Nothobranchius furzeri: one gene and its partners. The protein of the gene in region 1 interacts with the protein of each later gene in a biochemical or structural test. Links are inferred from orthologs where the notes say so. Each region holds a gene or a part of one and is shown in the gene's direction. Other genes may lie near its edges.

Evidence for each region. The genes of interacting proteins can lie anywhere in the genome.
Region 2: the proteins of parp1 (region 1) and aplf form a complex in vitro, tested with the Homo sapiens proteins (3 studies listed by BioGRID and IntAct, with this or other methods). The link is inferred for Nothobranchius furzeri from reciprocal best matches to the Homo sapiens genes PARP1 and APLF.
Region 3: the proteins of parp1 (region 1) and rnf4 form a complex in vitro, tested with the Homo sapiens proteins (2 studies listed by BioGRID and IntAct, with this or other methods). The link is inferred for Nothobranchius furzeri from reciprocal best matches to the Homo sapiens genes PARP1 and RNF4.

The regions. Positions count from the first base shown.
Region 1 is NC_091742.1:4,979,185-4,984,376, forward strand, and holds the start of parp1 (poly [ADP-ribose] polymerase 1), read left to right. Parts: upstream 1-1,760; 5' UTR 1,761-1,884; coding exon 1,885-2,007; intron 2,008-3,708; coding exon 3,709-3,874; intron 3,875-4,162; coding exon 4,163-4,278; intron 4,279-4,369; coding exon 4,370-4,584; intron 4,585-4,590; exon of another isoform or gene 4,591-4,605; coding exon of another isoform or gene 4,606-5,192. Other genes in the region: si:dkey-206f10.1 (adenylate cyclase type 8), read left to right, coding at 183-398; adorb1a (adenosine A2c receptor), read right to left, coding at 4,606-5,192. UniProt on the Homo sapiens protein: Poly-ADP-ribosyltransferase that mediates poly-ADP-ribosylation of proteins and plays a key role in DNA repair.
Region 2 is NC_091746.1:29,719,326-29,724,418, forward strand, and holds the start of aplf (aprataxin and PNK-like factor), read left to right. Parts: upstream 1-1,577; 5' UTR 1,578-1,694; intron 1,695-5,093. Other genes in the region: fbxo48 (F-box only protein 48), read right to left, coding at 1-28, 180-473. UniProt on the Homo sapiens protein: Histone chaperone involved in single-strand and double-strand DNA break repair.
Region 3 is NC_091741.1:64,325,058-64,330,105, forward strand, and holds the start of rnf4 (E3 ubiquitin-protein ligase RNF4), read left to right. Parts: upstream 1-1,532; 5' UTR 1,533-1,678; exon of another isoform or gene 1,679-1,723; intron 1,724-5,048. UniProt on the Homo sapiens protein: E3 ubiquitin-protein ligase which binds polysumoylated chains covalently attached to proteins and mediates 'Lys-6'-, 'Lys-11'-, 'Lys-48'- and 'Lys-63'-linked polyubiquitination of those substrates and their subsequent targeting to the proteasome for degradation.

The DNA.
Region 1 (5,192 bases):
TTCACATGTTCAAGTTCTGATAAATTCTATTATAAATATCATATATTTTGTGGTTTTTTTTTTTTCAATTATGACTAAATGTACAAGGATGGGTACGATTAAGGTAGTATTTCCTGTTTTGTTTTTTTTAAGTTCAAAGTACCCATGAACATAACACCATATTTGATTGTACTTCTGTTCAGGTGAGTGAATGCCAGGGGAATGTTCGCACATACTTCATCAGCACCATGCGCAGCAAAAGAGCCAACATCGGAACAGATGGGCGCCCAGGTGGCCGCACAGCAGGACGCATGACTCTAGCAGAAGTGGTATTTGGTCTTGTCCAGGCCAGACACAAAGAGAGGATGAGAGAGTCCAATGGGAATTTCACTTTGACTCCCAGTAAGCTGCTTTGCTGAGCAATGCACAAAGAAGAAGACACATTCCATGAATGTATTTCAAGGTTTGCTAGTTGGATCAAGTCTTGCCAAACTCCTTTTTCCTTCTGATCCATCCTGTCACTATAAAACTAAATGAGTTGAGACCGTCTTGGGTGAAATCATCTATGATTTCTCATCTAAACCTTACTTTGGAAATTAACTATTTATAGCATCATAATATAGGTTAACTTCATCATCTGAAATCTCTGTTTTCAGTTGTTGTTTATGCTATTTTGTCCAGTTAAAGAAAAGCCAACACATTTTCTTGCTTGCTTAGAAAATGTGCTAGCAAGAGGTGAGACCTCTACGCCAAAACACACAATACCTCTTAGAATTTTACTCAGTGGCCTGTAAAGCCCTGGTTGACGTTTTTAGTGAGTTATTTTCCACCAATTTTGTTTACAGTTAAAGATGTTTTTATATTTATTAGTAAGCCCAAAGATTTTTTAGAAATAATTTTACTAATTAATGACTATGTGAAAAATTATTGTAAAGACGAGTAAATGAAAGTCTCCATCAGTGTATTATTATTGTCGTTATTGAACCCAAATTGTTATCTAGGCCCTTATAATCAGGTCATAGTTTTTAAAAATTTTGTTTTCAAAAGACTGAAGTTCATTTGATGAACACATATTGTATTTACATTTTGTATGTTTATTTTTTACATAAACTTTCAATGTGAATTGTGCAAATAAAAATCTTAAAGCAGAACTATTCTTTGGAATTGTTTGTTTGCGCATTAGTTCTCAGTGATCAACTATAAACAAATGCAACTATTGTAAATATATTTATAATTAACATACTTAATAGTTTTGCTTCATGTAGAATTTCATGTTTAGTTTTGTAAAAATCTGATTGATCTGTGCTCCATTAGTTCTGGCTGAAACTCGCGCGGGAATTCTGCGAACCAGTTCACTGATCCTATATTGCTCTTAAGATGCCCCACTTGGTAGAAGAAGAAAAGTTAATGTGTGTAGCGCCTTTCAAGATAAAAATCACAGTGCGTCAGAGATTTAGGTTAGGGCAGAGCTACTCTAGCTCTGGGTTAGAGTGGCCAAATGTTTCTCTCTTTTATGAACCGTTAAGAATAAACAAAGTTGTTATGTGGTTACAGTGTAACAACTCAACCCTGATTTTTTTCGGTACATTAGAGAAAAATACAAACAGGTGGGGACCACACAGAAGTTTAAAATGGCCAAACGAATCATCATAATGTCTCGAATCATAACGTAAACAAACTAAAACGTAATATACCACAAAGTACATTAAAACAAAGTTAAAACTTACGTGGATTGTAAATCGGAGTCAGAGTGAGACCTCGTCTCGTGAGCTTCCTCTCCAAGTAGCACGCGGGCTGCAGCCGCCGCTCTGCCTGTGATTGTTGTGGTGGCTCCGAGAGTGCATCGGAGAAAGTTGCCCTCTTCATCACGTCGCTTTGTTTGCTTGTTTGCAACATTAAGGAACAATGGCGGACTCCCAAGATGACAAGCTCTACAAGGCGGAATACGCGAAAAGCGGCCGGGCTTCGTGCAAGAAATGCAAAGAGAGCATAGCTAAGGACTCGCTGAGGATGGCCCTCATGGTGCAGGTGAGGAGGTAGCGACGTCTGGAGGGATTTAACCAAGGAACCATTCTGTTATGAAGCCTTTTATAACCGTGCTGATATCTAAATCATATGTGCGCATATAGAGAACCATAATAATCAGACTTTAAACTAATCTAGTGTAGTTTATAAAGGAGTTTGAGTTGTGCTAAGTGAGGCCCCCGGTTAGCATTTAAATGGCTGACTGAATGAATCTGGCTCACAAAGAGCCGCCTGGATCGCCTCAGAGGGACTTAGGACAATGTCTGAGACCCATCCAGTGTGCTGCAGAATACAACTGCTCCATCCTCTCCTCCACTCAAGAGACATAGATAAAAAAAATCACACAAGCAGCTGTTCCAGTCTGTGCAATAGAGAAATAATCATGTAAGAGTCAAACTCCTGCTTATTGGTCAGTCTGTGGGTCCAGATCAGCACTCACCCCTGCAAAAGGAAGGAAAATTCATTACCACTTGCACACATTTAAAGTTTCAGCCACAAAATATAGTCTATATAGTATTTCTTTTGTAACGTCTTAATAGTTACAGTAATGCATATTATCAGGTCAGTGGTTCCTTTTTGTTTTTATTGTTGGAAAACCCAACCGTGTGTTGTGTATTTTCTGCAAAATATGTCAATTTTTTTTTAGTTCTGGCTGCATGAAACATTGACATTCTTGTGAATATGTTTATTTGTTATACTTGTTTAAATAAGTAAGTCAGAATTATTATCTGTAGTTTTAAAGACAAAATTGTGAAAACCCTTGTTTACAAATTCATGATTTTATTTTTAACGTGAGTAAAATCTGAATTTTTTTAATGCACAAAAAACGTTTGTCATGTAAAACCAGAAAAATTCCATCCATCCATTTTCATCCGCTTATCCGGAGATGGGTAGTAGCCAGTAGCCGAAGTCAAGAGGCCCAGACTTCCCTCTCCCCAGCCACTTGGGCCAGCTTCTCTGGTGAAATCCCAAGGCGTTCCCTGGCCAGGTGAGAGACATAGTCCCTCCACCGTGTCCGGGGTTTACCTTAAGGGCTCCTCCTGGTTGGACGTGCCCAGAAAACCTCACCAGGCAGGACTGCGGGTTCCCGTCAGCTGCCTCTGGAGTCCCACAGGCCAAAAAGACCTGTTAGGACTCTTTCTTCAGCTTGACGGCATCCCTAACCGCCGGTGTCCACAAGCGGGTTCGGGGGTTGCCACCACGACAGGCACCAACGATCCTGCGACCACAGCTCCGGTCGGCCGCCTCAACAAAAGAGGCACGGAAAAGAGTGCATTCAGACTCGATGTCCCCCGCCTCCCCCGGAACATTTTGGAAGTTCTGTCGGAGGTGGGAATTGAAGCTCCTTCTGACAGGAGACTCTGCCAGACGTTCCCAGCAGACCCTCGCGATACGTTTGGGCCTGCCTGGTCTGACCGGTATCCTCCCCCACCATCTGAGCCAACTCACCACCAGGTAGTTGTCAGTTGCCTGCTCCGCCCCTCTCTTCACCCGAGTGTCCAAGACACGCGGCCGCAGGTCAGACGAAACGACAACAATCCATGACTAGCACAGAAATCCAACAACAAAACAACATTCAAATTCAGAAACCAGAAAAATTCAAACAGAAAAACCTTTATTCTCACTTTAATGGTTTTGTTTTTTTTTTTCATCTTTTTTTTCTGATATTTGCTGTTGCTTCATTGTCTTGTTTTTGTCCTCCAGTCCCCGATGTTCGATGGGAAAGTCCCACACTGGCACCACTTCTCCTGCTTCTGGCAGCGAGCGGCAGCTCAGACTGAAGCAGACATCGCCGGGTTCTCCACTCTTCGCTGGGAGGACCAGCAAAAAGTCAAAAAGGCTATTGAGACTGGAGGAGCTGTCGGAGCAGGTCGGTGGTAGATCTTTAATTATTGTGTTCAGCGCCTTGTTTGGTTGTAATGCCTTGTGAATGCGCTTTATAAATAAAATTGGATTGGATCGTAAGCAAAAGAGCTTAAGATAGCTACTTTCAATTGGTTTAACTTTGTCTTATTAGCCAGATAAAAAAGTGAAGTGATCCATAAAAAGTCAAAAGAGTGCCATTTCTCAAGTTGTTCTAAATGTTTTTAATTTATCATTTACTATTAATGCATATTTTTTTTAAATGTTTAGACTTATTTTCCTTTGCATCTTGCAGGGAAAAGTGATTCAAAAGGTGCCGCTCAAGGGGCCAAAACTCTGAATAACTTTGCCGTGGAGTACGCCAAGTCGAACCGCAGCACGTGCAAAGGCTGCGAGCAAAAAATAGAAAAGGTCCGCAGCACAGGAAATGTCTTAATCAATAACCGTTGAACACGTGTCATAAATACTTCACATGTCTGCCGTATTTTTGCTTCTCTTTCAGGATCAGATTCGTGTTTCCAAGAAAACGGTTGACCCAGAGAAACCTCAGCTGGGTCTGATCGACCGCTGGTACCACACGGCGTGCTTCGTGAGCCGCAGGGAGGAACTGGTGTTTAAGCCCGATTATTCCGCCGCCCAGCTGAAGGGATTCGACGCGCTGCGCGCCGAAGACAAGAACGATCTTAAGAAGAGGCTCCCTGCTGTCAAATCTGAGGGGTGAGATGACAAACGTTTAGTTTAGAGATTTGTTTCCTCAGCGATGTTATTCCTGCTGCTCATCGTCCTGCAGCACAAGAAAATGTCCTTAAACGTGTCCCTGAAAGCCGTCATGGTGTACGCGTATAGGAAGGGGTTGATGGTGGAGTTTGCGTGTGACAGGATGATGGCGGTGAGCAGCAGCTCCAGCGGCACGGAGCAGCGAGGGCAGAGCAGCAGGAAGCAGTTGATGACATGAAGCGGGATCCAGCAGACCGTGAAGAGAAACAGAATGAGGAAGAGAGACGTCACCATCTTTATCTCCCGGCGCATGCTAGCTGCGGCTCTGGTTTGACGCGCCGCCCCTCGGCCGCCCTGCTCTGGCCCGATGCGTCGCATCTGCTGCTTGACCGCAATGAAGATCCGAGCATAGATTAGGAACATGGCGAGCAGCGGCGTGAGCACGCATGCAAAGAAGTTGAAATACACCATGTAGGTCATGTCCACCACCAGGACGAAGACACAGTTGCCGGAATCGGGCGGCGTTTTGTGCCAGCCCATCAGGGGCACGAGGCCGATGAGGAAGGCCAGCAGCCACGTGGCGAAGATCACCAGGACGGCGTTGCGAG
Region 2 (5,093 bases), on another chromosome or scaffold:
TCCGGGTGTAGTTTCTCACCAGAGTTACCTGAGACAAGAGGCGGGACAGAAAACACCTGGTAAGTGTTGGTACCGTGATCTGGGTCTGGGTCTACAGCGGCAACACTGAACAGGAACCTCTCAGCTGATCAGCAGCAGAGATGTTTAGTTTGGATATGAGGGAGGGCGAGGAGACCCACCTTCCAGGAGAAGCCGTCCCCCCGGTCTTTGTCCACCTCCCTCTGACAGACCGCCCGCACCAGCAGACACTGCCGCCTCCACAGCTGCTCGCTCTGCTCGATGATGTCCCGCCACAGTCTGCAGGTCCGTGAGGCGCTGCAGAGGCTCTCTGCATCCAGCTCTCCGAAGATCCTCACGCTCATCTCCATCGGCAATGCTTCAGCAAAGTTCTGAGAGTCGTCAAAGGCTTTCGGGGAGGCTCTTCGTCCACAGAGCAGGGACACGGACGACCTCCTGGCAGGGTCATGCTGCATATTACTGCAATAGTCCAGAGCAGCAGCAGCAGCAGCAGCAGCAGCAGCAGCAGCAGCAGCAACGCACGAGAAGTTCTCTCTGAAACAAAACCAGAAACAAGAATCAGGGTCAGCACAAGTTCAGAACCCATTAGGAATAACAGTCCCAGTCCCACCAGGACATTTAATCAGCTGTTTTCCAATTCAATAACAAATAAAACAGGTTTAGTTTCTGACATTTTAAATTTATGTTTGATGAATTTTACCAAATTAATAAAATTTTATTTAAACAGTTTTCAGTTATTTTTATGTTTTCACATAAAATTTAATGTTTTTTCTTCCCCTCTAATTAAATCCTCTCTTTTGTCTATATCTTCTTACAGTTTTGACTAAAAATCCTGAATTAAGACAAAACTTAAGTTTAGTTTCGGTTCCAGGAACTTTGAGGAAGCGGTTCCATTTTCCTGAGTGGACCTCAGTCCAGTCCTTCTCCTAGAACCGGAACATCCTCACCAGAAGCAGAATACTTCATTCATACACGCACTACTTGAGGCTGCATGGTGACGCAGTGGTTAGCACTGTTGCCTCACAGCACAAAGGTCACAGGGTCGAAACTCGGCTGCAGCCTTTCTGCGTGGAGTTGCGTGTTCTCCCCATGCATGCGTGGGTTTCCTCCGGGTACACACATCACAACACGCCCTACAGGTTATAAATTGTAAGACGCTTTGGATAAAACACAACATACTACTTACTTCTACACGTGATAATAATCTGAATCTGACCCAGACTGCCAAATCATTCTTGAACAGAACACCGATTTGAGTCATTAGTCTGTGATAAATAACCAAAAATCACCGCTAAACACGAACTCAACACAGAACCGGAGCTCGTTGCATGGAGCAGGCCAGTAAACACACTTGAGTTCGGGTTTGAGAGCGGAACCAACCTCCAGCCTCCGCCCCGGTTATTCAAACAGCTCGGTTCTGAACGAGTCGGTTTCAGGCTGAAATTGGAGATGGCGGTAAAAAGGTTTTCACTGGTTTAATCAGAGGCTCTTACCTGCGGCAGATGTCTGACAGCTGGTGTTGCGACAATCCGTGCTCCCCGTCGTAATGCTACTTTGGGGAAATGCGCATGCGCCTATTGCGTCACAGGCTGTTTACAAGTCGAGACCGCTACCTGTGGAAGTTTGCGTTTAATCTCGTCACTTATCTAGTTACTTTCAACTCTTCGAAGGTCACAGTAAGTATTTCTTTAAGTTGTTTTGTTAAATTACTGTTTGCTGTATGTTTACCTGACAGTTTGCTTGTAAATGCCTTCTAAAATGTCGTTATTATACTGTAAACAAGAAATTTCTCCCATTGTTTACAGTCATTCTGAAAGAGTCCCAAATTAACATCCAAAAGTTTTATATTCTACTGTTAGCAGAGTCATCAATCGTGCTGATGGAGGAAATACAGCCTCATCACTGCTTAGCTTCTCAATCAGGGAACACCGGTTTCTTCTGTCACGTCATCTCTTATGCGTCACTGACAGCGATCTCATTGGTTGAATTAAACCACATGACATTAGTTAACAAAAGATAACCCATAAGTATTTACAATATAAACATACAAAGATAAAGGTATACATACAGAGATAAAACAAATGAGAACACAAACATAATAATGTAATATAAATCAATATTAAATCATGATCTTTTGCAGATCTCAGTTCTTAACATATACATATAATAAATTTATCATAGTTGCATAATAATCTCCAAAATTATACATTCAAACAAATAACTGACTGTTGGGGGAAAAGCATGTTTGTTCTATGTAGATTAATTTTTCTAATAAAGGAAATACAAATCTCCATTTTTATGAATACTTTCGACATGGGTGAAAGTTGGTAAATCGTCATTGTTCTGAGAATATTCAAATATTTTAGCAACTAAGGGGTTAATTTTTACGAAATGACTAAACTGCTTCTTACACTATCCACCTTTTTTTCATAAAATAAATTAACAGTAGCTACCGATTTTCAGTAAACCTGGACAGACTGAATCAGCTGTTGAAATGCGCGTTGGTAGGAAAATTCGACGAGGAAGCACGGATGTTTTTTTAACAGGTTTTATTAACTTGTTGTCGATACATTCAGAAAATACATTCAATATATCCATGGATCACATTTTACAGTTGTTTACAACTGCAATAACACACATGCAACATTAGGAAACCATTAAACAAACAAACAAGAAATAAACAAAGAACTGACGAAAACATATATAACTTAAAAACATAACACTTAGGGGTCTGCTGTGTCTAAGTTGAAATGATGAAATAAGTTGATGATCTTTGTTAGTTTGTTGTTCTTCTTTTTTAATTTTTCAATGCTGTTCCAATATTTCATAAGGTCTGTAATTCTTAAATTATAGATGGAGGGGATACTGTTCTGAAAAATTTTTATGTAAATAATATTTTGCTAAAATAATGATTAAGTTAATTATGTATTTTTCATTGGATGATAAATGAGGGTTAGTAACAATAAGAAGTATTTCATACATAGAAATATTTTTTGTAAGTTTTTGGAAATGTATCTTTGTAAATGGAACCAAAACAAAGTTACATGAAAGCAATCAACAAAAACATGGATAGAAGGTCCCAACGGTCGTTCAGCAGGACCGAGCGCAATTTGTGGCAGCGGCAGCGCTTGTGGCACTTACAGTGGCAGCTCTGATACTTCCGGGTGGTGCCACGGCTTTTAGTGGCACCCGCGGCTTTTAGTGGCACTAGCCACGCCCCCTACCACTGCTGCCATTACACTTCCGGGTGGTGCCACGACTTTTAGGAGTAAGGTCTAGCTGCGGACATTGCCCAGGAAAAACGTTTTTCCTGGGCAATGTCCGCAGCTAGGTATTATTGGATTATTGACTTTTAGTGGCACTAGCCACGACCCCTACCACGGCTTTTAGTGGCACTAGCCACGCCCCCTACCACTGCTGCCATTACACTTCCGACTTTTAGTGGCACTAGCCACGCCCCCTACCACGACTTTTAGTGGCACTAGCCACGCCTCCTACCACTGCTGCCACGGTACCTGCGGCTGTAGTAGTGACCTCAGTAATTGCAGCACTTATGCATCATCGGCCTCATCATGCCAACGTTTTTATTTTTTACTTTATTAACAAAATCAAAACAAACAAGGCTGTCACCGAAAATATTTGAAATATTTCAAGCGGTTTACAAATGCGTTTCCCAGTCACTTCATGCATATACAGTGTAATGCAATCAGAAGCGTTAATGCATTTATTTTTTCCATCATTTTTGTTGCTCCCCCAGACGAATCCGTGACAGATCTAGTGGAAGATCCACAGACACTTCCGGGTGGAAGACCGGCGGTGGGTCACCGGCCTCCGGTACAGAGTCAGGAAAAGCAGGGGAGCACCAGAGCCATATGGAGAGCGCCAGAGCAGTTCTCAATTTCTGAAATAATTTATGACAACTGCTACCAATGTGGATTGTGGAATAAAAAGAGATAAACTGTTAGTTTTCTCAATATTGTCATTGCAATCGGGACAGATACCGCCATCTGCCGGCTTAAAATGGTTATTGCAGTACATTTTAAACTTTTTTAAAACTATTTCAATCTTCGTTTTCACATACATTCAGTTTACAATGTAACCTACATTCAACGTACTGAAGAATAAAGCAAATAAAAATGACCTCAGTTGAGGAAAATAAAAATTACATTTAGAATTTGCAACAATTACCACATGACACTACACCATAAAATAAATCATGATGCAAAATAATAATAAATTAAAAATGAAATATCATCAACAAACAAAAAATGTTCAGAGGTTAATATTTCAGCATTATATTTCAAACATGTATGATTAATTGGACTGTAATTTAAAGAACAAGAAACTCAGACATTGTTTCGTACTACTCATAAATCCATATGCACAATACAAAACTTTATTGTTGTGAAACCACAATATCTATTAACAATAAACTACATCCCCAAATCCGTTGTAGTGACAAAACAGCCTTTTCACTCCCAAGTTGTTTAAAATGTACTGCAATACCATTTTAAGCCGGCAGATGGCGGTATCTGTCCCGATTGCAATGACAATATTGAGAAAACTAACAGTTTATCTCTTTTTATTCCACAATCCACATTGGTAGCAGTTGTCATAAATTATTTCAGAAATTGAGAACTGCTCTGGCGCTCTCCATCTGGCTCTGGTGCTCCCCTGCTTTTCCTGATTCTGTACCGGAGGCCGGTGACCCACCGCCGGTCTTCCACCCGGAAGTGTCTGTGGATCTTCCACTAGATCTGTCACGGATTCGTCTGGGGGAGCAACAAAAATGATGGAAAAAATAAATGCATTAACGCTTCTGATTGCATTACACTGTATATGCATGAAGTGACTGGGAAACGCATTTGTAAACCGCTTGAAATATTTCAAATATTTTCGGTGACAGCCTTGTTTGTTTTGATTTTGTTGATAAAGTAAAAAATAAAAACGTTGGCATGATGAGGCCGATGATGCAATAAGTGCTGCAATTACTGAGGTCACTACTACAGCCGCAGGTACCGTGGCAGCAGTGGTAGGAGGCGTGGCTAGTGCCACTAAAAGTCGTGGTAGGGGGA
Region 3 (5,048 bases), on another chromosome or scaffold:
CACACACACACACACACACACACACACACACACACACACACACACACACACACACACACACACACACTTACTCACTTACTTACTTACTTACTTATATGTGATGATTTCAAAGCTTTGACTTTTAACAGGCAGTTTTAAGATCAGTTCCTTCTTTTTGTCCATGACATGTGACATGCATGTTTTGGGTGAAAGCTGGGTGGACCAAATCCACCTGAGAGGATTTAGCTTTTTAATAAATTCAGTTTAAAATCAAAAGTGAATGATTCTGTTCTTACAGACCTTTATTTGACAACTTGTCTTTTCAGTGCTGCGTTCAGGAATCTGGCTCGGTGAGGCGCTCATGAAGGCGCGGCCCTAAAGCAGACCCTGCCAGGTCACGCTGGAATTTTCCAGCCCCCGATCAGGTTTTCCCACAATGCACTGGGTCACCATACAGTACTGCAGCTCCCACAATGCTTCTGGCAGTTGTTGACAGATAGGTGGATAGATATGTAGCTTTCCTTTTGTCACATGTTTCCAATCTCATAGATCTTTACTTAAAACATGAAACTGATTTTGTTTATTTCATGTTTATGTAAACATTCGTGCATCTGCCTCAGCATCTTTGACCTGGCTCTGGCACCACTGGACCTGTTTGCTTCAGCTCATCTTTTGTTGAATGTTTTTGCTTCATTTGTGACAGCAGGAAGCTGTGAAAGTTTGCGTGGCTGATGTCATTGATGCATTTGTTGATTTGACTTCAAATAAAATCTGAATGTTGAAACTTTTATGTTGACCTGTTTGAGCCATCTGTTCCTTGGTCAATACAAGATGTTTGTTTTACTCTGACAAATCCTCCTTCTGGTTAAGAACCATATTGTCAATGCCTTCTGATACAAAATTAAATCATAAATGATTTTAATCATCTCAGAATAAATTTTTTGATCACACCAAAATGTTTCAGTGGTCTGATCAGAGTTTTTCTGGACAAGCTCTTCAAATAAAACTTGTTGAAAGTTTAAAAAAAAATGCATATGTTCAAATGCGTTTTGACTATGGTTGTAAACAGTGATGGTTTAGATCTGGACCCCATGTGGTTCAGATGTAAATTCAAGGTGGTTTGTGAGGAAAATATAATCAGTATTTTCTGCTGTTGAGTTTACCATTTTAGGTTCAAAATAGATCTGGTGAGTATTTCTAATAATTTTAAATATTTTTGTATGATGGAGAACTTTGACGCAAATCACACTTCATTTTAAAAATATTATATGCAAAATTTACTGATATTATTTTTACTTTATTGATAACATTATTTTTGTAACAGAACCTTAGTCAGAGTGATTGTAAGTTTAGTCCTGGAATAGTTCTATCATGTTGGAGGCTTGATTTTGGCATCAATAAAATCAGTTTCAAACTGAACCATTAAATTTGTGTACTGCATTGATTATTCAAGAAAATGGAATTGGAGATAAATATATTACTATCAAATAATATGATTTTCTTAAATTTGTTTTAACACATTTTTAACGTCGCAGTTCCATCTGAACTTTGCAGGGGGCGCTAGTGAGCTCACCGTTAGAGTACAACTTCCGGTTGTAACCGCAGAAGGCGCAGAAAGTAAAAGCTAACATTACAATCGTTCGTTTCGGTGTTCTGGGGCAGAAGTAGATTTTCTTGGACCGCGAATTCTCCGTTTGAGGTGAGACGTGTCACGTTCGAGCCGAACACATGAAAACACCTGGTGGTGAGTGAGAGAAGCTAACTGCTAACCAGTTGTGAGAGAAGCTAACTGCTAACCAGTTGTCTCTGGTCGTGATGGTAAAACGAAACTCCATCCGTTTAGATTTTGGACCGAAGCCACCTGTTTTTGTTATTTTAGTGACACATTGACTTCCTTGAAGAACACTTTGAAATTAATTGCGCTTAAATGAATACGCCTGTAAACAAATACCATCCTCAGTACTGTAGATTTAGATGGAAGTACTGTAGATTTAGATGGAAGGTATCAGGTGTGAGGAGTTTCTACTAAGGTGTAAAGATACTAGTGAGACCAGCCATGTCTGCTTTAGAGACAGCGTCCACAAGGTAAAGACAGGAAGTAGAGTTAGAGGTTGCGCAGCTTAAGAAGAAAGGGGCAGCTTATTGTGGTGACAGAGGTGGTATGGGTGTGCTGGTACTAAACAGAATGTTAAGTTAAAAGATTAAAACAATGCCATCTTGGGAATTTCACCCAAGGAAAATAAAATGGTACCTTTAGGCGCACATAGGTTCAATGCTCTCACAAAGGCGACAGAAACGAGGTGTACGCAAAGTCCACAATTTTATTTCGTGTTTTGTTAAAAGGACAGCAGTTTAAACTACTAATTTAAAAATAGAAAGGGAGAATTAAAACAAGGAAAGAAAATAATTAGTGTTACCAGGCTGGAGCTTACCAAGGTAAGGTGGACCCACTGGAGGTTCTAGCAACAACACAAACTAAATACCAATAGTCACCCAAAGCACCAGTGAACAGTCACACAGATGTGAAGGGGGGCCCACACCAACTCGCACACGGAAGAACCACCGCCACCACCCTTGGCTCCAGCCTGGACAAATAAAAGTTAAAAACCACAATAAAATAAACTCTGTTGAAATACAATAGTGCTCCAAAATCCTCATGCGTCAGAGGTGAGAAAAGGTCTCCCTTTCCACTCCAACCAACATGCTGGGCGGGAGAACGTCTGGCGGAGGAGCACCAGCACTGGTTAAAATCCTCGGTTATGCTCTGAGTTTACATGCAGCCAATATCCGGGTTATGATCGGGTTAAGGTCGGTATTCGGGTTTCTGAGTTGATCAGAATAACCCGTTTACAAGCATAATAAATAGAAAGAGTTACCCCTAACTTGCATAACCCGATTTAAATGCGGACGTTGGGGTAGCGTCAGGACGTATGGACTACGTCAAGACGCAATATGCGTCATATTTCGCTGTCTCTGTACTTTCGGCTGTCAACAAAAGACATAATGTTCATACTTTTCACCAGACCGATGAAGACAGGTTTCCTCGTCACTCCAAAAGTGTGGTGCTGTGCCGCGACTCGCCATGTTGCTCCCATCTTGTTTACTTCCAGTGTTCTGGCGCATACAAGACGTCTCGCTTCTCAAAAGACCAAGATCCCTTGCGAACAGAGCATGCGCAGAACACACGCTTTGAAGGGGATATCCCGATATGTGTTTACACGACCAAACATTCGGGTTAGAAAAGGGTTACCCCAGGTGTAGTAACCGGGTTTTTAAAAACCCGGTTATGAGCATATCCGGGCTTTTGGCGGTGTTTACATGGCCGTGCGGAACCGGGTTATTGTGAATATTCGGGTTTTAAAAGGGTTACTGGCTGCATGTAAACGTACAGTGAGCGGTGGCCCAAACTGCTCCCGATAGGTCGGTCCGCTCTGTCGAACCGCTCCTCGGTTGTTGAGGGAGAGAGGGGAGGGGGGTCACAGCAGTGACTCAAAACACTTTGTCGTAGCATCACAACACCTCGGGTCCTAAACAAAAAAGGTAATAAACCTTATTAACCCAGAAAAGAATATTCATACTGAGCGTGCAGGGAGGGGGCGCACCGCACATACATACCACGCCGACAGCAGTAGATCACCTAGAAGGCAAGCACGCTTCTTTTCCAACAGCATGCGGTAACGTTACATTATGTTAGATGTTTTGGAGTCAGAGAGGACAGACTGAGTTGGTTTGGATATGTCCAGATGAGAGACAATGATTACATAGGTAGGAAGATGATGAGGTTAGAGTTAGGGGTAGACCGATATTGCTCATGTAACGGGTATTACAATTAAATAATATGAAATAGGTATTGAACTATTGTCTTGACAACTCTGGACCAGTATCAAAAGTTCTAGGTAAGATTATGGAGCCTTGAAAGGATCAGCAGAGAAGGAACCACACAATGACAGATAAGATATGATTTAAATAGAAACTGTATTGAAAAGGTGTAAAGTTTACAAACCCTGCCTGTCTAAGCCGGCTTCCTACAGTGCACAAACGCACATTAAAGGACTCAAAATAAAACCAAAACCCTCTTTGAGGAAATTCTCCAAAGAGTTTCAATTAAAGAGCTTCCACTCCTGTTGCTCAGTCCACTTCTCTTTGGAAAGAGAAATTAGTTTGTGTGTGTGCGTTTCTGTCCAGTGGATCTAACACTACCCGGGTAGATTTTTTAAAAGTGTCAGTCTTATCTGTGTCAAGGGATGTAGTGATAGTCCTGGGGTTCGCTGAAGATGGATCCCACGGCTGGCCACACCGTACTCTGGTCCGTCTACAGTCACTCTCTTGGAACTGGCTCGCCACTGAACCCACAAGGTTCAGATCTCAAATGATCCGGTCCTGGTCAAAAAACCAATCGGAGCTCGTGGTGAGATAGCTCGCCTGGCTGACGCAGCTTCCCACGCCCATATTTCACAGAATTCAGATCCAGGATCTTTCAGTTAATCTGGCGGTTGCCTCGTGAGTAACGGCTTTCACAACAGGAAGTGCTGACTAACAGGAAGTCATCTCAAGGCATACTCGCCTCCTAGTGGCGGAGAGGGAAATTACACCTCCAACCTTATGCCGCAGCACAAACCACAATTCTGATGTGGGTTACACTCTCCCCTCCTGAACTCTTGCACGTCCCTGTGCATGACAAGGTTCACACAAATGTCTCTTGGGGGTAAAGGCAAGAGTAGAAGCATGTGCTTCACCTTCATTTACCATGTCATTCCACGCATCGGTCAACCCTTGGAAGAAGGACTTTACCACGGTGACAATTGGTTTCCCCAATTCAGTGTAGTCGAGCCTCATCGGTGGTTGGCGATCCCGCTCAGCCCTCCTAACATGGGTATCAGTGTCGGCTTGTTCCTCTACTTCACCATCCTCCTCCTGTCCTTCAGTTCTAGGATCATTCATCACATCCTCCAACGCTTCTGGGAGGACAGGGATCTCTTTAGGTTGGTCCTCACTTAAGTCCTTGACCTCGTTAAGCAACTCCTCCTCTCCTGAACTGCAATCCAGCAGCATCCTTTGTCCCTCAGATT